Oryzias latipes: one gene and its partners. The protein of the gene in region 4 interacts with the protein of the main gene of each other region in a biochemical or structural test. Links are inferred from orthologs where the notes say so. Each region holds a gene or a part of one and is shown on either strand. Other genes may lie near its edges.

Region 1 (7,352 bases), on a different chromosome or scaffold from region 4:
TCTTTCCATTTTATTTTGTCTTTTTCTTCAAATTATTATTCAGAGTTTTTTCTGTAATAAACTTCATCTGAATTGTTCAGAAGTACAACAATCGTTTTTAAATGTGCTGAAACATTTACAGGATTATTTTTGGCTGCAAGCAGAGAATTGGATGTTACAAAGCATTTCCATGGACACATGGTCTCCGTCACGCTGCCTTGACTTTTCTTCCCACTGTGGTCGCTAAACTCTGCAGGCTGACCGCGGCTCGCTGCTTGTCGTCCTCAACAAAGGCGAAGGCTCCGGACTCGGGTTCAGTATTGCCGGTGGCGCCGACCTGGAGCAAAAGAAAGTCATTGTGAGTAAAAACTGTGGTTGATGTTCCAGAACATTCAAACCGAAAGCTGAGAAATGCACCTTAACATTTCTGGCTTTAAAAAGAGACAAGAAAAAGCTGAAAATGTGGAGATGATGCTTCTACAGAATGTAAAGGCCGTGTCACACAGGCTTTATGTACAATCTGTGCATTGTCCACGTGTGTAATTTCGGTCTTTCATCATACGTCTGTGATATACATAATTCTCAAGTGTTTCTTGCGATCATTGGTCGATGTGTGCAGATGTCCGTCGAGGGTTTCAGCCGATCACGTGACTTTAGTTTTGAGCTGTTCAAAATTTGTGGTCGGATGACAATTACGCCGATTATCCCTGTTTTACGTAGTTTATGCACAATTATTATGTAAATCTCACACAATTGTGCTTGATTTTGCGAGATGCTAATTTGTGTCTTTGCATGACCGATCCACGGAAATGTAACGGACTTTTCAGTCATGTACCATTGATGGGTAACCTTTACATCATGCATACGGTGGTGCACATATCACGGTTAAAATGCGTAATTGACATTCAAAACACTAACAAATTGCATAGAAACAGAGCAATAATCACACACGGTTCTTGCACGATTGGCATTTTGTGTGACAGGTATATAAATCGTCCGAACTTTCACCCCTCCAGCAGTCTATACCGAGTGGGGGTCTCTCATGGGGTCTCCAACGCCGCAAGGGAGGTGGCCGAGTACAGCGGGCGCCGATGCGACTGTGGACGCTTGCTTGGCCCTTCTCACTGATCTCCCCGGCTGATGCTCCTGCTGGAGGTCCCCGATCTCAGCGGCCGACTTAGAACTGGTGCGGACCAGGAGAATCTGACTGTTGACTTAAAACACAGCATGGCGAGGGCCCACGGCGGGGGCTGACCATGGTGCTGGCGAGATGTGATTTCTGTTCAATGCTCTGAATGTCAAAGTAAAGAAATTCAACAAAGCGCGGATTTATGTGTTCTCTGCATGTTTTATTCAAACTTCTTCCGTGGTTTTGACGCGGTTCATTTATGATAGATCTGTGAACGGTTCATGTAAAGACCTCAACTTTTCTCATTTTATTCCCCGTATGTTCACGTGTTCAATTTTCCTCTGGGCAAAAATGTAGGTAGCGGCAGTGTGACGCGGCCTTTAGATGTGCTGTGTGTCCAGGTTCACAGGGTCTTCTCCAAGGGGGCAGCCAGCCTGGAGGGCTCGATCCAAAGAGGCGACAGCGTATTGTCCATCAATGGAACAAGTCTGGAGGGGAAAACCCATCGGGAGGCGGTGTCGTGCCTTCATCAAGCCAAACCGTCCAGCCAAGCTGTGGTCGTTATTTGGAGGAACAACGTGGAGCCGGCTCGCCACACCGTGATCTGGCCGGACCGTAAGTGTGCTGCTGCTTAAGTCTAACCCGGGTTGTGCATAAAAATTTAGAAAATTACAACCAGTCTCATTTGGGAGATCTTCTTCCAATTGACAGTAGAATGAGACTATAATATCAGTAGAGTTACACTAGAATGACAGAATGACAATCACAGATGGGCAAATGAAGGCCTGTCGGTGTACACCTACACCAAAAAGTTATGACTTAATCATAACCACAGCTTTTTGCCATTTTTCCACTTAGATGATATCTTATTTTGTGTTTTTTATTCCTGCGTCTCGTTAGTCCTGTTCAGTCCAGCGAGCTGACATTAAGCCTTTTGTCTCACAGGAGCCGACGGTGCGTTTACCGTGGAGCTTCAGAAGAGCAGTGCCGGCCTGGGCTTCAGTCTGGAGGGGGGCAAGTCTTCCTGCCAGGGGGACAGGCCCCTCACCATCAAACGCATCTTTCCAGGTGACCGCCGGTCTGTTGAGTTCAGGCTGAACTTTAAACACTCTCAAACATTTACACATCAGAACCTCACACATACCGTCTTTTTCAGACTATAAGTCCAAATGCATAAATAAGAAAAATCACACTGTACTTTTGGGAGAAATTTCAGGGGGAAAAAAGATATTAATGAAATAAATAGCATTAATAGACTGAGTATATGCAGTAAACCATTGACGCTTGGAAACAGGAATCTAGTGTATAAGTGCAACATATGAACAGTTATTCAGATAAAACTAGATTAACTCTTTACCCACTGGGCATGGACACATCTATTAGATATCTAAACCATGACTAATTCAAAGCTTACAGCTGTAGATATGCATTATGCATCTGATAGACATTTATTCATAGAGGTCTATTGCATATTGGGGTTTAGATCTCTAGCAAACAACTTTCCTACAGTTAATTGCGTTGTTGTGCCATCAAGCCTTGCGCGTTGTAAACAAGCCATTTGGGTAGTTTCTGCCCACCGGACACTGGATGTCTATGAGTTTTCTAACAGGCATTTATTGTAGATGTCTACTGGACGTCTTAGGCAACTCTATTTTGTTACTCTATTAGATTAGAGTAACAAAATAGAGTTACAAAATATATGAAATCCCTAAATTTGACAGATTTAGGGATTTCAAGTGATATACCCACCAGGCACAGGATCTCTATTAGAGACCTGATATACATCTACTGTAGATGTCTACAGAACATCTCTATTTTGTTACTCTAGTTGTGTACCAATAGTGTTTAGTGTTCTACATGAAATCTGCATATAGAGGTCTCCTAAACATCTATCTGTAGACATCTAATCATTTGATATCTTTAGACTAGACGTCTATTAGATAACTAATAGACATCTATTGTAGAGGTCTACTGGACATCTTAGACAACTCTATTTTGTTACTCTATTAGATGTCTACCGAAAGTTTTCTGAAACTAACTGCCATCCCAAGATTAGAGGTCTTCAGATAGATGTGTAGGAGACCTCTATATGCAGAACGCCATTGGTAGACAACTAATATAGTAACAAAATAGGGATGTCAGAGAAGTCCTGTAGACATCTACAGTAGATGTATACCAGGCATCTAATTGAGATCCTGTGCCTCGTCGGTATATCACTTCTTCCTCTTTCGGCTTCTCCCATCAGGGGTCGCCACAGCGAACAAGTCGCATGGTAAATTTGGCAATGTTTTACGCCGGATGCCCTTCCTGACGCAACCTTCTCAAGCCGGGCTTGGAACTGGCACAGGGGTAGAGAAAGGAACAGGGAGCAGCCCGGAGTCAAACCCTGGTTTCACGGACGGAAGGCGCCGCAAACCAGCACGAGCTAAACCGGCTCCCTTGGTCGGTATATCACTTGAAATCCCTTAATCTCTGTGTTGCCCTCTAGTGGTTGTGGCAATTTATTTTTAAAAATCACATATAAGTCGCACCTGAGTATAAGTTGCACCCCCAGCCAAACTATGTATGACTTATACACCAAGCAATACGTTACACAATAACATTCACACTCAAACAGTGACACAGTTACACAAATGTTTACAGAGATGTTAACACGTGCACACTCAGGTCACCTTTGTTAGGCGTGTCATGTGTCATGTGGAGTTGTTGGATCCACAGCTCCTCTGGAAAATCACCGACCACCATTTCCCAACATGGCTTCATCTGTAGGCCCTCCTACGTGTGAGGAGCTCACCGCTCCACGGCCTGAATAAGACGCCGACATCTACTTTGGGCGCTAGTGCCGTGGCAGAAATGTGAATGTATCTGCTGTCAATCAAAGTGACTTATCGTGTGTGTTGGTTTGGGTTTATTTGCATAATCAGGATTTAACGGAAACAGTGTCATTGCAAAATTGTGTTTTTTGACATTTCTAGAATGTCGATAACGTTTTGGGCATACGTGTCATGGAAACACAGCTAGTGACACATTCATTCCCTCACTTCCCATACAATTCCACTCGCACACATCTACACACACAAGCATTCACATGGTCTAAATCTTGAATGCTTAAACGAGGAAACGCTGTCAAACATTCTCACAACATTCTCCCACCTTGGCTTTCCTTTCCATATGGTTTTTGGGATTATTTTGACCTCGTAAACAAGGCTGACCTCAGCGTCTCTGTCATCACACACAGACGGCATTACAAACCCAAAGCTACAGAACGCTGACGCTTCAACATGCTAAACATGACTGGTTGTTTCAGCTGTTTGGTGTGGAAAACTCTCCCACACGGCCGTGTTAGTAGGAGGAGCTTCGTCCATTCAGCTGTTGACCGGGACGTTACAACACGTGTGTGATTTACTCCCCAACAAAATTCCTTTGTGACTCTGAACCGTTGCATTCCTCCACCTCAGGGGGCGCTGCAGAGCAGTCTGGGCTCATTTCCGTGGGGGATGAGGTTCTGTCCATCAACGGCTGCTCTCTGGAGGGGCTCATGCACCACGACGCCTGGAAGATCATCAAAAACGCAGACGAAGGTCTCAGCCAGCTTCTCCTCCGCAGACCCATGAAAGACGCCCCTGCTCAGAGGATCCTCTGTAAAGCCCCCCCCACAACACGACATGAGCCAGCAGCAGAGGGGGGGGCTCTGCACCTTCTGATAAAGGACTTATGTTGAACTGTGCTGTGTGGATCCTGCCTGACAGGTCTGTGTGACAAGCATGTACACACAAAGGACTTTTTTTTTTAAATAAACGACTTCTGAGAAAACATGCAGCAGCTGACTGAAGTAATCCAGACTGTCACTGAAGAATCAGAATCACTTTATTTGCCAAGCGAGCGCATGTACAGGGAATTTGTCTTCGGTTACTTGTGCTTTCGTGCAAACTAGCAAGGTGAAAGGATAAATAATAAAAAGATAAATGATAAAAAGAAGGTAGATGTAAGGTAGCTGTATGAATAAATAAACATAACTAAATAAAGGAATGGATTAAATTAAAAAAGTCCAAAAAATGCAGCAGCAGTAGTTCCAGTTTGTGGTTGTACAGTGTCCCTGAGCAGTCCGGAGTCAGGAGTTCATCAGAGTGACAGCTCGGGGGAAGAAGCTGTCTTTGTGGTGAGTGGTTTTGGTTCGCAGTGTCCTAAAGCGCCGTCCTGATGGGAGGAGGCTGAAAAGGCAGTGTCCAGGATGAGAGGGGTCTTTTACGATCCAGAGCCCGCTTCCAGGCTCTGGATCGGTACAGGTCCTGAATGGAGGGAAGGCTGGAACCAATAATCCTCTCAGCGGATCTGATGATTCTCTGTAGTCTGTTCCTGTCGTGTCTGGAAGCTGAACCAAACCAGACCGTGATGGATGCGGTCACGACAGACTGGATTATTGCCGTGTAGAAGATGGTCAGCAGCTCCTGAGGCAGGTTGAACTTCTTGTCGCAGGAAGTACAACCTCTGCTCAAGTAATCCAGGCTTTAGCTACAATAATCAAGTTTTCAGATTAATATAAACTTTGAAACAATCCAGACTTTCACTGATATAATTCAGGCTTCAATTGCATTAGTCCAGATTTAAGAGTAATCTAGACTTTGAAATGATCAGAATCAGAATCTTTTATTGTCATCATGCAGTGCACAATGACATTTTCCCAGCAGCTCTTTTCTAATTAATATTAAACATAAATAATACAGAAGACTGTACAGTAAGAAAAAGATGAACATTGTACACATGGAATGAGTATTGCATACATGATTAAAAGTGCAACCAGAGCATAGTCAACTGTCAACTGTGTGGTGACAGGGGATCAGATGCCTATGTTAAGACTGTGTGTGGCGGGGGGGGGGGGGGGGGGGATCTCACAGCTCTAGGGAAGAAGCTGTTTCTCAGTTTACTCGGTTGGGTTCTGATGCTCCTGTATCTCTTTCCAGAGGGAAGCGGTACAAACAGTTGATGTCCCGGGTGGGCGGGGTCTGCAGCTATACGACCAGCCGTCCGTCGGACCCGTGTAAATCCAGATTTACACTAAAATAATCCAGACTTTTACTTTAAAAAATCTGAACTTTCACTGATATTTATAATCTAGGTTTTAGAAAACTCTTGACTGAATCAATCCAGACCTTGATTGGAGTAATTCTGAGCTTTACTAAAATAATCCAGACTTCAGATCTAGATTTTAGAATAATATAGACTGAATCAATCCAGACCTTCATTGATATAATCCAGGTTTTAGCTGCAATGGTCCAGATTTAAGAATAATATAGACTGAAACGATCCAGACCTTTATTGGAATAATCCAGACCTTTACTAAAATAATCCAGACTTTCACTGAGATTATCCAGATTTTGGGAGTAAATTGTGTAGACTTTCGCTAAAAGGATCCAGACGATACAATAATTCTGACTGTGTAGTGATTCAGAGCTTGACTGAAGTGATCTAGACAAAACGATTCGGCTTTGGTCGTTCTTATTTTTGCACAATCCCTTTTAAAGGGTTCATTCTTCCCCTTTTGCTTTTGATCCGTTTTTATGAATCATTCAGGGCGCTGAAGTGTTTTGCTGGTTTACCTAAGGAAAGGCTGAACATCTGATTGGTTGCACTGATGAAAGCCTCTGAGCTTGGGGGGGTTTGCGTCTTGCTCAGGGGCACATCAGCAGGTGTGGAGTTAAAACAGAACTCTGCAGCCATGAATGACAGATTGCCTCACACAGAAGCTCATTAGATCCACCTTCAAAACATCACTGAGATGGCGTTGTTGACGCCGGAACTGAGAGTGACCAGCAGGAGGCAGCAAAGCCAAAGGTTTCTGCTCTGAGCGCTTCTATTAGGGGTCCTTAATCCTGACTAAACCATAGAGAAGAAACAAAATGATGTTTTCTGCAGTCATTTGCTCTGATACGTGCCTTGGAATGGGGGGGGGGGGGGTCTGGGCACCCTCTCATCAAACTGTAAGCTGATTAAAAAGAAAGGGTCTGAGAATCAGCAGGGCCCAGACCCCCCCCCCACTGTGGGGGCTGCAGTCTGGCAGAGCTCATGCGTGTCCGATGAAGATAGCACAAAACCACGGTTCACTTTGAGTCTAAGGCTCTGCTGGAACGATGGAGCGATTACAGGAACAGGGGCTCCAGTGTGAGCAGGAGCCACAGAACAGATTTCCTTTACAGGAGAATCATCAGAGACGTGAAAATCCTCCATTTCTGAGCGAGGACGCTTG
Region 2 (7,352 bases), on a different chromosome or scaffold from region 4:
CTCATTATTCCAGAGGAAGATTGCGAAGCATTGTTATTGGCAAAGAATCTGTAAACACAGCATCAGGTCACAAAGTGTAAATAAGTAAAGAAAGCTATGATGTGAACATGTGAACGATGAGTTGTCTGACAATTCAAAGCCTAATTTTTGTGTTTAGTGCTGCCATCATTTAAGGCCCAAGTTAGCGAACAAATTCTCTGCTTTACTGCATAAATATGACCAAAAACATAATAATATTTCAAACAGGTCCTAAAAATAGATGATCCAATATTGTATCTCTGTGAGCAGTGAAAGTAGGGGAATTAATTAAAAATGACTGCATCCCAAATAGCACACTGCTGCCTATCTTCAGCTTTCAAAAAATGTGAAAGGCTGAGAAGCTGGGGGGCTGCTTTAAAACAACATGTGGACCAATGAAGCCAGACTATAAATGTTTGATGTAAAGCACCAACACGTTGTTTCCTTTCTTACTCCCTTACAAAATCTAATGGAAAAACCAACGTGGCACCACAGAAAACAAGATTAAGGAAAAAATAAGAGCTTTTTTCCCGATGAAGACATGTGATGAATTTTGAATAACGACGTTTTTGAGAAAATTGCACTTTTTCTTTTTCTTAAAGACTCACTCCAATGAAAAAATAGTTTTTTGTGTTTTTTACATATAGTTGTGGTATTATTCTCATGATGGAGGACATATAAAAAGAAAATTATGCTTCAAATTGCAGTTAGAAAAAGCCTATAAATGTGTTGCAGAAGCTACTACGGCAAGCCACAAGCTCCCTGCTGATGCATCCACTTGTAGATAACTAGATCCATGTACAAGCATACAGTTTTAAAACCAGATGTCAGCTTGGGCGAGGAAAGCGAAGACAAGGCTTAATTTTCTATATGTTCATGTCCTCCATCATCAGAAAAATGCCACAAGAACATGCTAAAACACCAAAAACACAGTTTTCCTCAGAGTTGGTCTTTAACCTGCATGCTCTTTAGAAATTGGTTCATCAGATGTTGGAATTTCTTTTTTCCAAGTGGAATATCAAGTTCCCAAAGGTAACAATAGGGGGAAAATTTCATTAAAATGTTTTATTTTTAATAATGGTCCAATAAATACAGTATGTGTTGTTGTTGTTTTCAATTATGACTAACCACTGTTCTTGGCAATAATTTAAAAGAAAATTTAATCAAATGTGATGCCATTTTGACATCTGACTCCATTGACAATAACATTTCATTCTTCCATTCACTAAATGTAAATTAATTTTTACTACTGTAGCCAACATGTGGCTCTAAAGAATTGCCATTTCTGAGATTATTAATACATATACAGTACAACATTAAAACGATACTATACAACAGCTCATTAAATGTAATCCTAACTTCTTATGTTGATTTTGCACAATATATTAACCCTGAAACATGCATACTGACATGTATATACAGTGAATTCCTAAATTTTTTTTTAGGAGTGATTACAGTATTAACATTTCTACATTATCCTGGACAACCCTTTAGCAAAGCAGAGAAGGTAAGAGGTTGAAAATTAGGCCTCAGTCTAGTAATCAATAATAATACGGCTGAGTCCCAATACGTTCTTCCTCCTCTCAGTCAGCCCAAAGATGTGGATTTGTAAGTTTATGTGCAGAAGAGTTACTGGCGGTTCATTCTTGATGAGAAAGTAAGACATTCTGTCCTGCACATACAGCTGTGGGAACAAAACATTTTTTTTCTGGCCAGGACATTTTATTCTCCTTAAAAAAAACTCTCATAAGTCCTCATAGGGGCCTCCCACTGATAAGTGCACACGCCACATGGATTTCTGCATTGTGCCAACAACAGCAGCTGTTAGGAAGAAATGACAGAAATGTTTTTTTTTCATTCAGTTGACTAAAAATGGAGCAAATTTAGTTTCTAAAACATTTGATTATTTGTTACTATAGGAACTGGATATGGATTACCTTCTTCAGGCCTTCTCTGGCATCAGCTAAACCAAAATGCCAATTTTCTGTCTTGTCTGCAAGACAAACTGTCTTGCTTCTTACAGACAATAAAAGCAGCCTTTAAAGTGTCCAAATTCTCGTATAGAGAGAAGGATAGTGTGATGTGCCAGGGCCATATTCTCCTTGAAATGTGAAAAGCAATTTAAATTCAGTGTTAGGAATGTTTTTCCTGAGTTACCATTTAGATTAGACTGACTATGGCAGAATGTAAGTACAGAAACTGACTTTTGTTTTCTGTACAAACATTTTGTGTTACATCACCTTGACACATCAATAAAAATTGCACTGGAGGTACTTTATGGTGCTTTTTGCTTCTTTTCGTCACCTGTGCTATGATACCTTACAAGATACGATGGTGTATTGCATGGCTAGATCACATGACGATCACAATATTCTACTTGTTCTTTTCTGTTCGAACTTTTACTGTTACGACTCTCACTGTTTTACTTTTACTACGCTGTGTTTTTAAAGCTCTTCATAATTTTGCCCAAGTTTACTTAACTCAGCTTTTAACTGTCATTCTAGAGTTTTAAAGTCTGCCAGCCAATATTTGCTTCATGTGCCCATTGTCATGACAGAAACACTGCTGGCCCTCAGTTATGGTAAAACATTCCTGCAGAACTGTCTATAATATCAGACCTTAACAGTTTTAAATGTCAACTAATATGTACCTTTTTAGAATGGCTTTTAGAGCTCAGTAGTCGGTGACATTTTCTTTTCTTGTATTCATTCTATTATATTCTTATTTGTACATTCTTACTTTCATGCATTCATTAGCTAATTGCTTTTGTAATATGAAGGTGTTTTTAATTTTTTTTGTTCATTTGTCTAATTTTAAACTTTGTTTTATTGCGAAGCACTTTGGTACCCTGAAGCAGTTGTAAAGTTCTATATAAATAAAGCTTCATTCGTTCAATAACATTGCATGAACATGTATTGAGATGTGGGATACCATGGAAACAAGCAGCCACAATGTTCTAGATTTTGTTAACTTTTGCTACATTATTTTAAATATACATTTTTAAATGAGTTAGACAACATTGCAAATTGGTAATCATTTTGGGGACATTTATACATTTCTTTTTGTGTCAAAAAATCCCCCTATAACAGAACACTTAGCAATGGTAAAAGGTGACCATAAAAAGTCATATCCTAGAGATGTTTAAAAGTCTACATAAAGATTAAAATGTGAAACTTTGACTGTGCAAATACCAGAGCACTGATTAGTTTTGCATCAAACGCTGTCTGATCTCACCTGTGAAACACTCCAGGAAGTCTTGTTCTAGTTTAAGAGCTCGATCCATTCCTTTCCTGGCCTGCTCTTCTGTCAGACGAGTGTTGATTTCTCTGTTGACATCACACACATTCCTTTAATTTGTACTCTCCTTATTTTTCAATTTAGAGTAAACACATAATTTCTCAATCAAACATTTAAAATTTATTATTTAGCATTCTAGTACGTACAGAACATTCTCCAGGGATTTGGGTCGGACAAAGATGGCAATAGGATGCAGCTGAGCTGCTTGTAGTCTGCGGACAGCATTGGCAGAGACATCAAGGATGCAGTGTTTCCCTTGCTGCATGTGCAAATATAGAAGGACAGAAGAGAAAGCAAATTTCATTAAAGGAAAAAGAAAAAGTAACAGAAACAAGGCGTAACACAAAAAAGATAATTGGAGTACAATAGGATACTTTTACGGCTAGTTAAAACTAAGTTTTTATTGATATCAACCAAATGTATTTATATAGTACTTTTTATAACTAGTACCACAAAGTGCTGCACACACAAATACTTACATAAAAATGAATTAAAAATGGATTCACACCTCACTTTACCTATGGAGGCAAACATTGGGCATCAGATTTTACTTAAATTAGTCTTTACTTTGCAAGTCAATGTTGATTCAGGCAATTGATTTCAGTGTCATTTATTGTATTTTTGTAGGCAATCAATTGCTTTTAGTTACCTTTTTGATGTAAGGATTTATATTTTTCTAGAAAGAGTTCCACTTTTTGACCCGCTTTTTTAGTTAACTTTAGTGGATGGTTTGTTTTTCCGTATTTTGTGCAGGCAGCCTGTAGCTCCTGCCAGAGGTTCTGCCCACTCACAGCTGCTTGCATTTGGTTAATTTTATATTTTGTATTTGAGGTTCCCCTTCCTTTGTGTGTTTGGTTGTTCTCCATGTTACTTTGCTCTAGTGTTATCCACCACTCTGTGTTAATTTAATGTCCTAGTTTCTGGGTCTCCTTTGTTTGTTTTGATTTTTTAAAATTTAATTTGTCCTTCAATTGACTCAACTGTCAAATGGAGTATTTTGCTGCACTTGGGTCTCCACCTGTTTGCCCACTGTAACAGATTTCTTCAGTTTGTGTTACTAGTTATGTGTAACGTTTTTCTTAACCAAATAGAGTTGGTTTTGAATGATTAAAAAAAAATTTGATAATGAATAAAATTGGTCTTTCAAATTGATTTAGTATTTTAGTATGTGGTATCCAACCAAACACTGTATGTGTTTTGAAGCAGTTATCCATAACTCATACAGATAGTTTTGAATCAACAAATAAGTTAATAGGCACCTGTTCTGCCACCTCTCGGACGCTCTGAACGCTGGTGCCATACAAGTGACTGTTGTACTGGCCAGCCTCTATGAATCTATGGCTTTGGATATCTTTCTCCATCTGTTCCCGTGACGACACAAAATGGTAATCTCTTCCATCCACTTCATAGTCCCTCTTAGGCCTCGTAGTGTCTGTCAAACACAGTAAAAAAAACAGAATGGTACATTTTATATATGCTATAGCAAATGTCAAAAATAAAGCTATTGCTTTTCTGCAGACATCTTGCTCAAGCTGCAGCAGACATGTCATTTAAAAAGTGAGAAACAGGTCAGTCTCCGTGAGTGACAGCACAATTACTCACGAGGGACGCAGGATCCAAACTTATCAGGGAACTCAGACAACAGGTCGTCATTTATCCTGTCCTTCACCGGACCCAGAATGATAATGGGCCTCGCATAATGTACTTATCACGAGGGAAAAGAACAAAAAGAGAGCAGGATTAGACACAAAAGAGGAATCATAACAGAGATTTTATTTGATGCTGAAATGGAGTTTCAAACATTTCACTCCACAGCCTTACCTTCCACTTGAGTGACCGTCTCATAACTTTGTGACATTTTCTTATCTCTCCCTGTTGGCGGAATATAATTGAATTTAGTTTCAGGTTTAAAGTAACTTTTGGGTTTTATATTTGCAAATTAGCATCTTCATAAATCTATGTGAACGTGGCTGTATTTGACTTATGCCAACTAAAAGCAAATCCATCCATTCAAGCTCTTATTCACAAGCACCCGTTTAGGTTGGGTTGACCCTCATGGGTGCTGTGGGTTGTCCGGGCCCGTAGAGGGTCCTAGTGGCTGCATCTTAAGGTCAGCACAGGTGTGTCTTTTAGTTCCCTTGTGGCTCATGCAGCCACCTTAAGGGGGATCATGAAAATGAAACATACGATTATCGAGCATGTGTTACCGTGAAATATTTGTAAGGATAATGTAAGTTACAAACACTCATGATGTCGTGCAGTGCCCTTCCGCAGCACTCCAGTCGTTAGTACGTTGCGAGTACTGCTTCCTTACTAACCTTGCTGCACGCACAGGGAGTGCAGGTGATGCAAAAGGACGCCCAGGAAAACTACGCTCTGATTGTCTAACAGCCAGGCTACGAACAACGGGCGCACACATATAACTTGAACATCACTAACGAGCCCCATGCAGAAAGCGTAGGGTTCAGGGAGGTTGAGAAAAAAGAAAAAATCCTACCATTGTGCCTGCGTCTGACCTACTTCAACCTTACTAACCTATAACCTGTAAGGGCATTTGTCAATAAGGCATTTCATATCTCTCCAGTTTAGAAAGAAAATAGACTGAATGAGAACATTTTAAACTTCTTAGTAGTTAAAAAAAATCTACAAAGTTTAACAGCAGAGAACATGGGCTTTCTCTAAATTTAATTAATTGATGTCTAAGTTATACATTTTTCTTTGTAAAGGAAAAGAAGTTTGCATGAAGTTTAGGGCTGAAAAGTGGTTCCACTCCCATCCATCCACCCATTTTCTTAACCTGCTTTAGCCCTTTTGGGGCCACGGGGTTGCCAGAACCTAACCAGGCTTCAGTTGGTAGAAAGTGGAGTACACCCTGGACAGGTCACCAGCCTGTTGTTGAACCACACAATCACACACGCATACATACTCAGAGTCACACCTAAGGACAATCTGGAGTAATCAATCAACCTATGAAGCATGTTTTTGGACAGTGGGAGGAAGCCGGAGTGCCTGGAGAAAACCCACACATGCACAAGGAGAACATGCAAATTGCACAGAGACAGGACCCGTTAGGATTTAAACCAGGGGCTTCCCACTGTGAGGTGAAGGCGCTAACCACTGCTCCACTCTGGTTCCACTCCCACTCTGACACTTTAATATGGTATATTCTAGCATATAGTGAGGTTTTGTTTCAATTCATCACCTTGAGTGCTCAAGCTGTCTCGACCATGATCCTGCAACAAAGAGAAGATGTCAGATTTACACACAGAAGGACAGATTGGAGCAAGAGTTTCAGAGAACAAACATACCCTCTCTTTGGTGTTTCCACGAGACCAGTCTTTCCTTTCCACTCTGCAAACAGGGATGAGGAGGAATAACAAAACAATCACAACAGAGATTTAAATGTAACTTTATTGAGATGGGATTTTTCAGGAGTTGTACCTGTGCTTGCTGGGAATGAAGCCGACCTCCTCTGCCTCGTTCTGGGGACTGACCCTGCGGGCTTGCCACCACTCTTCGTCCCCGCAGTCTAACACATGCAGCACGTCCCCAAACCGAAAACTAAGAGCTTGACTGAGGAAGCCACAGTCTGCAGTCTTGTCATAGTCAAAAAGAGCCCTAAAACATGGAAAAAAAAGGAACAATGTTTTTCATTTACAAGTATTCCTAACAGCAAATATGTTACACCTTAAGTGCTTCCAATGCCATATTGAATTCTAAACCACTTTAATACCATTTTTCTTTGCTGAAGAATATGAGAATTCCTGGCGCACCCTAAAGGGCCTTAAGTAAACCTACATATTGTCCTTAAAATTTTTTATTTGATCTAAGTTAGGGATGTGCAACTTCAGACCTCGAGGGCCTGTGTGTCTGCATGATTTCCAGATATACAAGCCCCACTCATGACTGATTACCTGGTTCAGATGTGTCCAGCCAATTAGAACATGCCAGAGCAGGGATTGTTGGAAAACATGCAGAAATGTGGCCCTCGAGGCCTGGAGTTGCCCATCTCTAATCTAAGTTGATACAATTCTTTC
Region 3 (7,352 bases), about 6.6 Mb from region 4:
CTTTTATTACTTGTATTTTTGTGCATTTGTTTACATACGTTGTTGAGGGTAGACAACAAGCAAGAATTTCATTTCAATGAGAACTTTGCTTCTCTGTTCCATAAGACAAGAAACACTTTAAATCCTGAATCTGATATGCAGCTTTTCTATGATCCTATATAAGGTCGAGGAGTTATGGTGTGTCAAAGAGCGTGTGTAACATGTCGCCGGCTACATCGCTGACGTTAAAGGATGGACTGTGATATGATCCACAGCACCTACAGTCCAGAACAGTTTGGAACCTTGGAGAACTTGACACAAGCCCACCATGCCACCCTTGTTCTTCTGAGGCAGGGGTCTGCAACCTGTGGCTCCAGAGACACTTGCAGCTCTTTTTTTCCTTCCATTTAAGAAAAATGCTAAAAAAGAAATAAGAATAAATATTAAATTAGTTATGTACATATTGTAATCTTTGGTGCAAAAAAGCATCTAGTTGTTGTCATAATGATAGGAAATGCAGTGTTTTACTTGGCCTTTTTGCATTTCTGTGTTCTTCAGGTAGAGCTTTATTGACACAGGGTGTTTTTTATTTGGAAGGAGCTTGTATTTGCTGCTGCCAAAAGTAAAGAAGTGAAAGTTTTCATTTATAGACAAATATAACAATTTATAATTCAATTATTGTGAATGTTTAAAAGTTAAATGTTATGAATGAATGGCCTTAATGGCCACATAAACCTAGTGTATTTTTGAAAAGGTTAAGTGGGACTTGGCAGCGCTCACTGAGTTTAGATCAATAAGAAACGTCACAGACAAACTGTTTCCACGAAGGCCATGCAGGACACCCTTAATCCTCCGTGGAGTGCCACCCCTCCTGCTAAATGCTGACCGTACAGCCCTCTGCTGGACAGGTATGTCTTGCTCATTGGAACTAAAGTGGGGGCAGCGACGATTGGGTCCGTGTGGGCGGATGCTGTCCCCTGCTGCTGACATGCACACAGGTCTTCTGTGTGGTGAGCGTGGAGGCTGCATTGATTATTCATGCAGCACGCTGAGCTGCACCCCCCGGTGTGATGACATGAGAGGGACAGAGCTGCAGGAGCAAAGGGGGATGAGCGCAGAGATCGCACACCGCTGCTTGCCTGAAGGAGCCGCCTTCATCCATTATTCAGCCTCGTCTTTTTCTAGGCAGGACATCCCCTTCAGCATGACAACACACCCCGCTCGGCAGGGGCTCAGTACGACAAAGGACTTGGGTAAAAAGCCCCCGCAGGTCAGTTCCAGCCTGAAGGAGACCCTGGCCCACCTTCACCCACTCCAGCGTCAGCATGCCATCGAGCTACACCAGCAGCAGCAGCAGCAGCAGCAGCAGCAGCATCAGAGCCGCCCCCCCGTGCAGCCGTCTCTGCCCCCTTGCACCATGCCTGCCTCCTTAAGAGCACGCAGTCGCTTTCTCACCCTGCGGGACAGCGTTAAGAAAAGCCCCACCAAGAGCACGGCCAAGGTGGTGATGGGGCAAGCGGCTCGTAGAAAGGAGGTTTCCTGGATACCATTCAGCTTCGGTCAGGTACTCCAGCTGTGTGGCCAGGGGCCAGCTGTGCACCGGCCTCTCTTAAAGAAACTCACAAACTGTCAGAATGCTCCGTTTAGCAGTTACGCTCTCTGTGTGCGTGTCCAGATCTAACCAAGATCTGCAGGTTTGGAGAAGTACAAGTGTTATGTGTGGTGCAGTCTGAACTTCAAGAAAGGGGGTGTGGTTTTGAATTTAAAGAGCTTCTTTAAAAGGAGCTTTTCTATTTTTTGGAGATTTTTGTGAAACCCCTTAATTGAGTTTTCTCTGTAAGTTCCACAGGTTCTTTTGGACTTCATCCTTTATTTTTCCTGCTTTGTTCTATAAATAGAAGTCAGGGTATTCATCCCTAAAGAAGAGTTCCCGAAGTGAAACACGGGGGTGGGAGTATGATGCTGAGTTCTCCTCTTGTACAGGGAGCTGTAGTTGGCTAGATGATCTCATAAAGAAATGGGAACATGAAGGGTGGATTTAGAAAGATAACTTTGTGCAGGATCAAGATCAGTGTGATCTGGGCTTGTTTTTCATGGAATCGTCTAAATAGATGGAGTTGACAACTGATGCTGGCGGTGGGGTTATTTGCCGCCGCCCCCCCCCCCCCCCCCGGCAGTATAATCTGAGCGCTGCTGCAGAAGTGGGGCTGACTGATCAATGTGCTCAATGTGTTCAACTAATTATAGCTGCTGCTGCTTTTCCATGGGCAGCTTCGGGGCCTGCTGGAAACGAGCGCTGAACCTGGGGAACGGATGAAGCCTTCAGAGTCCTGGAGTTGGCTCAAAACCTGCTCCTTTAGTTGAAGTTACAGTGGTGTCAACTCGTTTTGGATAGGTATTCATGGACAAACGTGAGCACACCTAGCCTGTGTGGATCGATGGGCAGGATGCCCCTCCCTGGTGATGTATGTGAACAGGACATCGCCATTAGTTTAAAACAGTCCTTGTGGTTTAAGCCTAGGTATGTTTTACTTCAAACTTTGCCCTGATTTTAGTTTAAACTAAGTTCAAGTTCAGATGGTGGCAGAGAAGAACAGCTGAAATCAAACACAAGCTGGTTGTGTTTCATCTTACCTCCACTTGTCCCCTTTCATGTCTCAGCTGCATCCCATAATGATGGAAAGAACATCCACTCCCTGAGGAAAGGGATGTTCCCCGCACATGTGCCGAGGTCAGGTAGATGGGCAATAAAGCTCAGAGCAGCAGATGGGGGTTATCCTCACTGTCTGTCATTCACATGACCTCCTCCTGTAATTGGCGGCTCGGTCAGACTCCACTCACCTCTGTGAGCTCTAACCAAACTTTTAAAACTAATTTTGTCTTCTTCCTCCATGCTGTCTGTCTAATCTCCAACTTCTCCAGCAGGCACAAGCCACCCCACCCTCCCCTCCCATCATTCCTGTGATCCCCATCACGCCAATCTCAGTCGAGACCACCGTCATCCCTCCATCCTCACAGGTTTTTTTTCTTTTTTCCCATTTCATTCACTTATTTTTGTTTCTGTGCTCCATCCATAAATCAATCCATACATCATCCATCCATCATCTACTGCTCAGCAGGCTGACGTTTGCCACAGTGGGTGGATGTTGAGGTATATTCTGACAGGGTGTGATGTTTCCTTTTGTGGTGCTTCTTCCCTCAGGCTAACCCCCCTCCTGTGGTGGTGAACACGGACAGCTTGGACACGCCTCCTTACGTGAGTTTGAACCCGTCTGCTGGTCTTCTGTGTAGCACAAACTCTTCTGACTGCGTGTCTGTGTGCAGGTGAACGGGGCCGAGGCAGAGTACGAGTATGAGGAAATCACGCTAGAGAGGGTAAGACCACCAGCTGCAGTCATTCAGGAAACACCCCTCCCACTCATCTTTAAGGGTCAGAGCAGACTGAAATAACGATCATTTTGAATACCATCTGTTGTTGGAATGGTTTTCCAGCATGAGGTATTGGGTTACTTCTCCCTCATTCCTAAAAGATGTTCTGGTGAAGCCTCTGTGTTCACAAACAGACCTGAGCACACTACCTGTGACACTGATGAGCATGCATGTCTCTTCCTGCTGCCAGGGAAACTCCGGGTTGGGCTTCAGTATCGCTGGTGGCACGGACAACCCCCATATCGGTGAGGATCCCAGCATCTTCATCACCAAAGTCATACCTGGAGGGGCTGCTGCTCAGGATGGGCGGCTTAGGTGAGATGACACATAGACTAACTCATGCATATTAGCAGACAGGTGTGTTTCTCTCAGCGTTGGTGGCAGTTTGTATAACAGACAACTGTCCTTAAAGTGTTTCACAATAATAGACGAGGCATAGGCGGATAAACGTGATGAGAAGCATAAAATATGTAGATGTTTAGATGTTACCTGGATAAAATGTTGTATGATTTAGGAGTTTCCTGGCTTTAGTGTTGCCAGATTCAGATGTTATGTAGCTCAGATGTTGCCTGGTTTAGATTTTGTTTGGTACAGATTTCACCCAGTTCAAAGGCCCATGTGTTGCCGGGTTTAGGGTTTGCAGATGTTCATCCCTGATATGAAAAACCTCACTTGGGGCTCCAGGTGCTCTATATCATTTCATCCAGGACCATCTGTGTTTAGTTTGAATTTGGTGGACTAAGTGAAGGTCTCAGAACCCCACCCCCAGTTAACACTGTGCTCCTTCTCTTGTTTTAGGGTAAACGACGTCATCTTAAAGGTCAACGACATGGATGTGAGGGATGTGACCCACAGTCGGGCCGTGGAGGCGCTGAAGGAGGCTGGCTCTCTGGTTCGGCTCCACGTGCGCAGGAGGAAACCTGTCTCTGAGAAAGTCATGGAGATCAAGCTAGTGAAAGGACCTAAAGGTGAGTGTTAGTCTATGACCGAAAACCGGCTCAGATCTTTTCCAGAAATGTTTTCTGCATTATTTCGGGTTTTTGTGAATCTAGAATGGTCTATGTTGGACTTCTCATGGATGTAACTAAGTCCAGCCTCTTTGTTGTACCACAGAACTGCAGCTGGTGATTAGTGTGGCAGCCCCTTCGGGGGGCCCAACAGGTCTATGTTCACGTGCATTCTGGTCTGTGCAGGTCTGGGGTTCAGTATCGCAGGGGGAGTAGGAAACCAGCACATCCCAGGTGACAACAGCATCTATGTCACCAAGATAATTGAAGGTGGTGCTGCGCACAAAGATGGCAGCCTGCAAATAGGAGACAAGCTGCTGGCTGTAAGTCTGACTAAACTGTGCATGATCCAGCCAAATCTGCTGCAGTCTGAGGCCTGTGTGTTTATGCAGGTGAATAGCTCCTGTCTGGAGGAGGTGAGCCACGAACATGCTGTCACCGCCTTGAAGAACACACCTGATGTGGTCTACTTGAAAGTGGCAAAGCCCAACACCGTCTTCATGAATGATGGCTTTGCCCCGCCCGACCTCACTAACTGTGAGTGACATCACTTTTGTTTCATTATGGCTGATGGTCTCCACACAGGAAGTTGTTACAATCCTGCCGTTTCTGTTGGATGCAGCCCTAAGGAGAAAATGCTAACCTGCTCCTCAGTCTGGCTGTTACAACTTCAGTAGATTCTAGTCGAGTACCACAGTACCTCGATGTTCTGGCCAGACCTGCTTCATAAGAGCAACCAGCGGCTAGCACATCTGAATGTTGCTCATTCCTTCTTCATGATTTTCTCCAGGACCTTAGGAATTCTAACTTATAAGTGTTCCACAGAGAATCAGCTATGTGTGTGTGTTTGTGCATAAATTTGAGTGTCATCTGTCTGCCTGAGGGTGTGTCAGTTCTGTGTGGGTGTGTATACTTGAACTCCTTGACTTGGGGGAAGAGCTCTCCACTCACTCAAAGGGGAAGAAAACTGTTTTCATGGTCAAGAACCATGGTCTCCACCATAGAGGTGATCATTCTCCTTTTAGCCAATGAAAAGATAACTGTAAGCTATTTCAGTGCACACTTAAGGTTCTGGTTCAAAATGCCCTACAGAACAACATTATCTGCAAAAAGCAGAAATGAAAACCTGTAGTTCCCGAGTCAAATTCTCTCCGGCACCTAGTGGTGACTAAGGGCAACCCTCTTGAATTCTTCCCCTACCCCTACGGCTTCTCTCTGCCCCTACATTTAGCCCTTCAAGCGAAAGTTTATGGAAAAATAGTGTCTTCAAATTCGGACAACACTACCCCTGGATGGTCATCCGGTGTGCTACGTTATCGCGTAGCTGCCTGCTCTCAGAATGTACATAACATCGGGTTTTTAACTTAAAAAAGCCATGCTAATAATGCAAATAATAATAAAAAATATATGAATTAATAAAACACACAAATACCCAACACATACACATCCCAACATTAAAATCAAAACAAATCAAATTAGTTGTTTTATAAAATCAAGTAAAAACATGTGGACAAGTAAAAAGATGTGTTTTAAGTTTTTTCTTAAAAACCTCCACAGTGGCTGAAGGCAGGCAGGCTGTTCCACAGGCGAGGCCCACAGTGCTGAAAGGAGGCCTCGCTGTGGGTTTTAGTGTGGACCTGAGGGCTCTGGGAGGGTCATAGACTATAAGTAAATCTGATAAAAATGAGGATCCAGGTCCATGTAAACCTATATAAACTAATAAAAGAACCTTAAAAGCGATCCTAAAGCTGACTGGGAGCCAGTGCAAAGACTTCAAAATTGGAGTAATGTGCTCCTTCTTTCTGGTTCTAGTTAAAAGGCATGCAGCCGAATTTTGAACAAGCTGCAGTCGATTGAAAGTATTTCTCTTAACACCAGAAAGAAGAGCATTACAATAATTTATCCTAGATGTTATAAAGGGATGGAGTAATATTTCAGCACTGGCTTTAGAGAGAAAGGATCTCACTTGGGCAACATTTCTAAGGTGATAAAAGGCAGTCTTTGTAACTTGGTCTGCGTGTGATTCAAAAGAGAGGGTAAAGAGATTAAGTAGTGAGATTCCCTCTTGTTGAAGGACAACCTCTGGTTCCCCTTCTTGAAAGAGGGACCACCACCCTGATCTGCTAGATCAGAGGTCTCCAACTTCCAGGCAATGTCCTAAAGGAATGCCGTCAAAGACGCTCCCAAAACATCCAGAGACTTGAGGTAGTAAGGGTGGACCTCATCTGTCTCCAGTACCTTGCAACCGATGTGCTTTTTGACACTCTCCATTTGACTACAGCTTGGGGGACGGATTGGCCCACTTCTGGTTCCCCAGATACTATTTTCTTATGAAATCATGTCAACAGAATTAAGGAGATTCTTCCACCTCTCAGCATTTCCCTGTTCAAGGTCAACAGCTCCTCACCCACACTGTAGACGGTAGTGGCAGAGAACTGCTTGCTTCTCCTGAGAGTCTAGCCCTCTCAAAAGGTTGGGTTTTAGAGTCCAAACTTTGAAGAGGCGCATGCCCAACTATCTTTACCCAGGACCCTCACCCTTCTGCAACCTAAGGGTCCCTCCCACTTAGGGAGGTAACAGGCCATGTCCCGATGATTAGTCCATTTTTGAGGATTGGGTTGTTGCGGCACCAGCCCCTTGTAGACCTTCCTTGTGAGCTCGGGGGAAGGCCAACCCTAGGCTCGGTCCCGAGATAGACCCTTGGTGACGTGAACCTTGTATTCAGTATTTTTACGAAAGGATTTTTTCCATACAGTAGTAAAAAAAGCTTTTTGTTTCTTCCTTTGGTTGCACTTCCCTTTATTTATGTTTATTACTTATTTGTTTGACCTGTTTTTACATTATTCATCTGTTTTTCATCTTTCCCCAGTTTTTTTTTTTCAATCAAATGCATATCCAAAAAGGTATACAAAATGTTGTTGTTTAATTGACTGAAAT
Region 4 (8,046 bases):
TTTTGAGATTTAAAATTTTATATTTCTAAATTTCAAAAATTCTACTAAGTTAAAATTTATTCAAGTGTCCAATTTTATTTTTTCATTTTAATAATTCCTTCAAAATTACAAAAATATTTTTTATTCATTTTCAAATTTACAATTTAATTTTCTAATTTTTAAAAACTAAATCAATTCACAATTTTTTTATTATTTTTAATTCAATAATTCTTTCAAGTTTAGAATAATACTTTTATTCCAATCTAAAGTTTTTTTTCCTCTAATTTTCAGTTATTTCTTCAAGTTGAAATTATGTTTTTTTCTAATTTAATTTTCTTTTCAATATTTCCTTCCAGTTTACATTTTGTGCTCTTAAGTTAAAAACTGTGCTCACATCTTCACTTTTAATCTTGTCATTTTTTCAAATTTCTAATTCTATTTTTCATCCATATTTGGCTGACCCTTAATAGAAGCTTTTTTCAAAATAGCTGAATCCCACCATTGTGTGAGTCCTCGGTAAGAGTTTATGCTTTAAGTAAAATTGAATGCTCCGTGAATGTAGCTTCATGTCGAATTCCAAAGGAAACCAAATCAAATCAGCCGTTTATAAAAAGTAATATCGTTATGGTTTGTTTGAGGAGGAACGCGTATAGGTAGTTTAAATTGGTTCACATGAATGACGTTACCACAGGGCAAAGGCCGTTTTGATGCCAGGGATTCCTACACATCTTAGTATACTTTTACATTCCACAATAAAGAACACAACCTCCTGTCAGCTTGTATTACTGACACAGTTGGTATTTTTATTCTGCAGTGGGTTTACAGGGATGCAGCCGTCTGTCCAGAGCCGCAACAGGAAAGGAAATGAAAGGAGCCAGCTAGAAAGATCCTCGTAAAAGTTGACCCAATACTTCTAAAGTGTTGATTTAGGCTGGATGAGCCCCGGACCAAAATGTGCTGTAAGGCTTCGCTGCTTGGTTTCCAGGAGTTTTAAACCCATCAGTTTCCTCTTTCATGGCAGTTGGAAACAAACACTTGCTGTGAGTCATAATTTATCAGCAACAGGTCCAATTAACTAAATCTGGTTCAAAAACCTCATTAAATGTTGGGGATGGTGCTCCCAAGATTGATAGCTCCCTTTCTTTTTCCACCAACAAAATAATTCTTTGCGTTCAACCAAACCCAACTTCAAAATAAAATTAATCAACTCAAACATCAAGTATATTTTAAATCCTGGTTCTTTTAAATGTTACAAAAGAAGCATAAAAATAATAATACAATTTATTTTTACAAAAAGGATTTTTACACTTTTTGGTTAAAAAAAACAAAAAAGCTCTTATTTAATCTTGAGATGTAAAATCAAAATTAATAACTAGTTTTGTGCAAAATCATTCTGAAGGCGATTGTAGAAAACCACTAATTCCACTAGATGTCAGTGGAACCAACTGGGTTTGTTTCTTAGACACATATTGGACAGACACATTATAGTTGAATGAAACTCTTTGATGGGTGGTGTGTTTGTGTTTGAATCGTCATCAGCTGATGGCTGTCCCATTAGGGCAGTGTTTATCAATTATTTTTTGCCAGCCCCCCCCCTAGGAAAAAGAAAATGTTTCGCGCCCTCACTGTCACAAGAACACCCTGGACCTTGTTTTAACCCATGGTATAGAGATTGGCCAGCTCAGTGTCCTTACTCATAACCCCATCATTTTTGATCACTTTCTGTTTACCTTCCAGTTTACATTAGAACATGCTACTGCCCCAGTGAATAAGAAACAGCTTAGAAGAACCTTATCTGACCGTTCTGTGTCTGAGTTTAAACTCACAGTTCAGCCAGTACTTAGTAGCAGTCTGAGCAAATACTCTGAGTCCAGCTCCCATAGCATCAGTCCTAGTAGAAATGACCTGTTTGTTAATGATGCCTTACAAGCCTTCAAGAGTATACTCGATGTTGTTGCCCCCCTGAAACCTAAGTTCGTTAGACAAAACCGAGGAGCACCGTGGTTTAACGCTGAAACACGTTCTCTTAAACAAGTTGGAAAGAGAATGGCGCCGCTCCGGTTCAGAGCAGTCTGAATACCTGGAAACATAGCCTATTAAATTACAAAAAAGCTCTGCGTAGAGCTAGAACTCTGTACTATTCAACCTTAATAACGGAGAATGGAAATAATCCAAGATTTCTTTTTAGTACTATTGCTAAATTAACTCGCAGTCAGAGCTCAGTTCTGTTTGTATCAGCTCTGATGATTTTCTTACATTTTCTTACATTACCTTTCTTACATACACTGTCACCAATGCCCCCCCGTTAAATTTGCGCCCCGGACAATTGCCCGTATAACCTGTGCCTAAAACCGCCAATACCGCGCGCCCCCCCTGGCATCGCGTGCCCTACTATTTGAGAAGCACTGAGCTACTAGTAAATATGGATATAACTATTATATCCATATTTATGATTATATGTTACCTTTGGCATTCTTAAGAACATGTTTTAATGAAATATGAGTTCAAAGTTCATTTCCAACCCAGAAGTAAGACGACTGGATCTCTGAGGCTCCGCCTTTCCCTCCGTGTGGGTGCCGCCCATTTCATGACGTAAACCTAGAGTCGGCCTCAGCAGCGTCTCTGCATTTCTCCCACGACAACAAACAACATCCAAACTTTTTCTAAGGAGGATGTGCATAATATGAATGTAAAAGCAAAGTGTTTTCAGCCGATCACTGCTAGCTTAGTGGATAAATTGTCGATGTGTGTTTCTGTTAGCCTGGGGGGCGGTGCTGGCAGTGCAGACTCTTCCTGGAAGGGTCTGTTCTTCACTTTGTGACATCACAATGTGAGAACCACCTCATTTTTGTGGATTGGGAGGGGCTGGTGCTCAGAGCACAGGTTTTTAGAGGAATACTCAGCATGAACAGATCAAAATACCAATAATAGTGAAGAATTAACATTATAATACTACTTAAAAGCTCTAAAAACTGATATAGGCCCTTTAAGAGGTTACATATCATCTGCAGTAACCTAAATTACATAAACAACAGTGTTTGTGCTTCTCTGAATCCACAGCTGAGACTCATTTGAATCTCTTTTGTCCCTTTTTGTTTCACTAAAGCGATTCATATCTGGAATTACACCATAAATCAGAAAAAAGGATTTGCAACCAGCACCTCCCCGACTCAATTTTCTGTGTTGTTCCTGCATTCAGCAGATCATTTGGGCCTTTTTTACGGTTAAACCTGCCTGTGACTAATGACTGCCGCTTGAAGGCACCACCAACAAAGTAGGATCCACCCCACATCCAACATGCGTCTCTATTCCAGCTGTTGAGGCTGGGAGACACTAATCCCCCCGCCCCCCCGGCCCGCACATAACTGTACTTCTCATCGCCAATAGGTGTCGCTGCTGGCACTGGCACCCACGCCGTCTGTCAGTCTGTCTGGCAGGGATGGGGGGATGTTTTATTGTGAACTACAGAGGAAGGGAGGGAGTGAAAGCACCTCTGCCGCTCTCCTTGCGTCCTCTCCCGTGCGCAGTTGCGCAGTGCTCCGGCCCGGTCGCTCCATCCCTCCTCATCACAGCTGTTTCTCCCGCCTTGGATGCTGGCGGTTCCCCCTCCCGCAAAGAAAAATAAAAAATAAAAACGGAGGGGGAGCTGGAGCTGACACTTCATTGGAGCTGGTTACCTATTTCGCATGGTCTGAATTTCGGGAAATTCGCACGTCGGAAAGGCGGAAAGGAGGGGAGTCCAAAGGGGAAGAAAGGAGGCTCTCCAACCCCCCCCCAGAGGAATTTATTTTACAGTAAGGCAATGTCAGTTCACTTCTTTGCCTCACTGTCTGTGCACATAGATGCTGCTGTGAGAGACAACCTGCTGGGATTGCTGTTTTTTGGATCAAGGCTGGGCCATGCCAAATGTTCCATTCCAGTTTAGGTGTGGTGTGTGTTTGTGCTGATGCGCCGTGGTACGCATACATTGATCGTGAACTAATGATGGACTCCCCCCATGCATCCTTACTGCACCCCCCCCCCCCCATTTCGATCCATCCATCCGTCTATCCATCCATCCAACCATCCATCTATCCACGGCCGGGGTGTGAAAGTAAACGCTGCAGCTCTGACTGGGTGCTTTTTTTTCTTCTGATTGACCCAAATTGAAGCGATATTTGTAAGATCATCACGTGTGTGACAGCGGCTGAGCACGCGCCTCGCCGTGCGCCTTTGTGCCGCCTTTTGCAGAGCGACGCACGCACGGCGTCAAATGTGGTTCCCCCCCGGCCACCGCCAAGGTTTGCGCGCGGATGGAGAGCACCTTGCACAAACTCTGGCCTGTCTGCTTCCTCCTGATTTCTGCGTGTCTGATCAGTGTTTTCCCCCTGGACTAATTATTCCCCTTCATTCTTTTGGTAAAAATTCTATTTCAGCAGAGATGATAAAAAATAATTTATTCTATTAATTGTAAAATTAGGCTCCGGGTGGGGGGGCTTTATTTTGGCTGAAATGGCCCTGACCTATTCAACCATATGTCTGCAAAACATATTTTTCGAATTCAGCCTCCAACCGCTGTTCATCAGAGGTTAGAGTAAGAGCTTTAATGTGATGGACATTAGGGAGGTTGGTGGGATTGGTTGGGGGAGAAGATAATCAGTGGGGCAGATTATACCGGACAGTGAAAGGTCTTAATAAGTTGCCTCTTTTACACATGACTTAGATCTGGGTGGAAATTGTGGCAAATGTGCCGATCCATTAGTGTGATTTCCTGTACAGAAGCATCTGAGAGCATCACAGCTTAACCCTAAAACTCTCCATCACGCCTGTCACACAGTTCCAAGTCTTCCTTTAAGCAGGCAGTACTATGATAGTAGTTGTATATAATAATGTCCTATTTGATTTTATTTATTGGAGTATTATTCAAAAATAAACAGACATGCAGTTTTTCCTCAGACTGTGATGTAAATTTTAAGCAGTGTCTTTTTGCAACAAACAGTAGTGCTGCTTCTCATTGACTTAAGGCGGTATCAAGAATTGGTTTAATTGTTTCTCTTTTGTAACAAATGTTGAGAAAACACAAAGTGGGTTTATCTGTGTGTACTGTAAAGCCCTTAAAGTCCCACACCTATCCTCTTTTGATCTTTTGTAAAAGTGTTCCCTGTGGTCTTTTAATTATGATTATGCCATTTTTAGCCAAAACTCAATTAACCTGTTTGTTCTGTTCTTGGACATAGTTTCTGCAGAGTGGCAGAAGTTTTTTAGAAATTCACCTGATTTGTGGGATGGTCTGTTGTCGTGGAGATGCCGCGCCTCCACTTTCCATCATCCATTTGTTTACACACTCTCCCACTAGCTTACAGCCCCTCATAACCCCAACCCAACATTACAGGTGCAACAAAAATGGCGTGCAATATCAGCGCTGTCCAGGCATATGTACAGTTTTGAGTCAGGTGCCAGCTTAGATGAGGAAAATGAATACATGCATGGATCTAGTTGTTTATAGCAGAGCAGGGCACCTGTTTGCCCGGAAATAGTCGCACCCTCATCACAACTACAAGCTTTTTCGAATGGAATTTTTTCACCCCTACTCAACAATTTGGATGAAGAAATACTCAGAAATGCAATTTTACTTTTAAATTTCCTCATTTGTACTCTGTCATCAGAAAAATGCCACAAAAACATGTTAAAAACACCATTTTAATCAGAGTAGGCCTTTAAAACTTATAATATAATAAACTTATAAATAGGAGGAGACGGCATTGTTCGTTTAGAAAATAAGAAAAAAAAATGTATAAAATCTGAATTTATGACAGATATTAGTTACCTGTTATAACACTAAAACCAGAAACAAAGTCTGGAGAGAAATAACAAAGGACAAAAAGTAAAATTGGGATTCTTAGCTTTTGTAGCTTCATTGAAATATCAATGTGGAATATTATTTATTGTATATTATGCCACATTTTCTGTGTTCTTCCTTGTATTGTGGTCCCCCCATACAAATCAAGCTTATGTTATGATCTGTTTTATCTGCACTAGTTTTTAACATTTGCTTCATTATGTCATTGCATTAAATTTGTTTATAAATAAGCCTTCAAATAACAAATTTGAATGGAATTAAGCTAACCTACATGTAACTTGATGTAGCCTTTCCACGCAAGCTAAACTTTAGATTGTCTGTATTTGAGGGAAGAAATCTTCTGATAATCATCCACCAACATTCTCAGCACCTTAAAGTTTTGCTTGTGGGTCAGGATTGCAAAATTGGTGTCATTGCATCGTGTGACAGCTTCATTGCAGTAGCCATCACGCCACATTTTTGCAGCCTTTGTTTTCCTGCTTTTCTCATCTGGATGAATGTTTAAAGCTGTCACAATACTTCTATTTACCTCTGTGTCATCTTTAAAGCAGAGGTAAAACTAACCCTGTTATTTAATAAGTAAACTAATGGGAAACATTTACAAAAATGGTACATTCCTGGGAAAAATACTTTTTAAAAATTGTGTTTAAAACAAGTCTACTGTCTCATTTCTTTATATTAATAAACTACTGTTTTAGAATGCTGTGAAATGCACACAGTATAAAGTAAAACATATTACGAATTAAATTAAAAAGAACAATTACATTTTTAGTTTAAATTAAATGTAAAAATAGTTATTTAGCTTGAATTTTTTGGCCTCCAAACAAAAGCCGTTTTTTACCTCTGGTCTTAGGGACAACAATATATCTGATTCAAAAGCAGACAAAATGGGGCTTTGTCTATTGTTCTTTGTCATCAGGCTTATCTTCTGGTAATATGGAAAAATCTATTTTCCGTATCACTATCGTTCACATTGATGTCTCAAGTGTGTCTGTGTACACTCTACAAATAGTATCAATGACGACTCATGCTAGTGCTAGCACTCGTGCACATTTACCTTATTTACGCACTATAGCACGCCCCAACAATGAATGGTCTATCTTTAAACTTGTCATATTAAGGTGAACCGAACTATGAGGGGCATTATGCGTGACAAAAAGTCTGAGAGAAGTCTGTTAGTTAGTCAGACTTTATGAAATGCATTCACATTAACTCCAGAACTTTTTTGTAACATGCTACACATTAGCCATGGTAGAGGCGTTAGCGTATTCACAATTCTTGTATCTCCCAAACTTACTATGCTTATTTCTAATGTTTCTAGTAATTCGTAAAAAACTGTCTGACACCGCCAAAACAAATTTTACTTTAACTACGCTAATTTCCAGCGTTGCTAGTAACATATTAAAAGCTGTCTGACACTGGCAAAACAAACGTTACTTTAACTGCGCTAATTTCCAGGGTTGTTAGTAACACATAAAAAACTGTCTGACACCGCTAAAACAAACGTTACTTTAACTACGCTAATTTCCAGCGTTGCTAGTAACATATTAAAAACTGTCTGACACTGCCAAAACAAACGTTACTCTAACTACGCTAATTTTGTGGGCCCTCTTTTTTCCCCGGGGTTCCCCCCTCCTGGGCGGGGGCGGCGGGCCCCTGCCTTGCTCCTCCCTGGACCAACCGTGGGCCAGGCGGATGGCTGCCTGGAGTGCGGAGCGGGTCTCCCTTTGGGGGTCTTGGCTCGTATCTGGGGTTGGGGCGGGGGGATGCCTGGAACTCCTGGGTGGTGGTGGGGTGCTCGTTTGGGGCTGTGGGCGTCCTTATCCGGTGGGGCCCTGCGTTGGGTTCTCCCGGTGCGGCGGGGGGGCTGCTCTCCTGGTTGGGCTGGGGCGGCGCTCTCTTTTCCTCCGTGCCTCCCTGGCCTCTGGCTCTGGGGGCCTTGCGGCGGCCCTGCTGGCCCTGGCCTGGGTGGCGGGCTTGGTCGCCCGGGCGGCGGTTGTTCCCTGCCGGTTCCCGTGTGGCGTTGGGGGGATTCCGGCTGCCGCTGCTGCTGCGGTGGGGGACTTGGGGTGGGGATGGCTGGGCACTCTCCCTCCTTCTTTTCACGTTCCACCACCCATTTTAGAAGAACATAAACACTCACCTGAGCACTGGTGTTAGCTCACCTTTGCACTAACAGTTTGCATGACTGAATGACTGAAATATTTCACACTAGTTGGTTTTAAGGC

What was found.
Region 1: the proteins of catenin delta-2 (region 4) and pdzd2 form a complex in vitro, tested with the Homo sapiens proteins (2 studies listed by BioGRID and IntAct, with this or other methods). The link is inferred for Oryzias latipes from reciprocal best matches to the Homo sapiens genes CTNND2 and PDZD2.
Region 2: the proteins of catenin delta-2 (region 4) and disks large homolog 4 interact in a test that uses a peptide from one of them, tested with the Homo sapiens proteins (2 studies listed by IntAct, with this or other methods). The link is inferred for Oryzias latipes from reciprocal best matches to the Homo sapiens genes CTNND2 and DLG4.
Region 3: the proteins of catenin delta-2 (region 4) and discs large homolog 1-like protein interact in a test that uses a peptide from one of them, tested with the Homo sapiens proteins (2 studies listed by IntAct, with this or other methods). The link is inferred for Oryzias latipes from reciprocal best matches to the Homo sapiens genes CTNND2 and DLG1.

The regions. Positions count from the first base shown.
Region 1 is NC_019867.2:30,195,271-30,202,622, forward strand, and holds the end of pdzd2 (PDZ domain-containing protein 2), read left to right. Parts: intron 1-235; coding exon 236-337; intron 338-1,509; coding exon 1,510-1,723; intron 1,724-2,053; coding exon 2,054-2,176; intron 2,177-4,566; coding exon 4,567-4,829; 3' UTR 4,830-4,927; downstream 4,928-7,352.
Region 2 is NC_019872.2:14,409,113-14,416,464, reverse strand, and holds part of disks large homolog 4, read right to left. Parts: intron 6,934-7,352; coding exon 6,757-6,933; intron 6,667-6,756; coding exon 6,624-6,666; intron 6,549-6,623; coding exon 6,518-6,548; intron 5,188-6,517; coding exon 5,137-5,187; intron 5,020-5,136; coding exon 4,918-5,019; intron 4,748-4,917; coding exon 4,575-4,747; intron 3,575-4,574; coding exon 3,462-3,574; intron 3,345-3,461; coding exon 3,253-3,344; intron 1-3,252. UniProt on the Homo sapiens protein: Postsynaptic scaffolding protein that plays a critical role in synaptogenesis and synaptic plasticity by providing a platform for the postsynaptic clustering of crucial synaptic proteins.
Region 3 is NC_019875.2:12,818,374-12,825,725, forward strand, and holds part of discs large homolog 1-like protein, read left to right. Parts: intron 1-2,901; coding exon 2,902-2,997; intron 2,998-3,181; coding exon 3,182-3,235; intron 3,236-3,303; coding exon 3,304-3,354; intron 3,355-3,598; coding exon 3,599-3,723; intron 3,724-4,206; coding exon 4,207-4,376; intron 4,377-4,601; coding exon 4,602-4,738; intron 4,739-4,807; coding exon 4,808-4,952; intron 4,953-7,352. UniProt on the Homo sapiens protein: Essential multidomain scaffolding protein required for normal development. Recruits channels, receptors and signaling molecules to discrete plasma membrane domains in polarized cells.
Region 4 is NC_019875.2:19,376,334-19,384,379, forward strand, and holds the start of catenin delta-2, read left to right. Parts: upstream 1-3,451; 5' UTR 3,452-3,783; intron 3,784-8,046. UniProt on the Homo sapiens protein: Has a critical role in neuronal development, particularly in the formation and/or maintenance of dendritic spines and synapses. Involved in the regulation of Wnt signaling.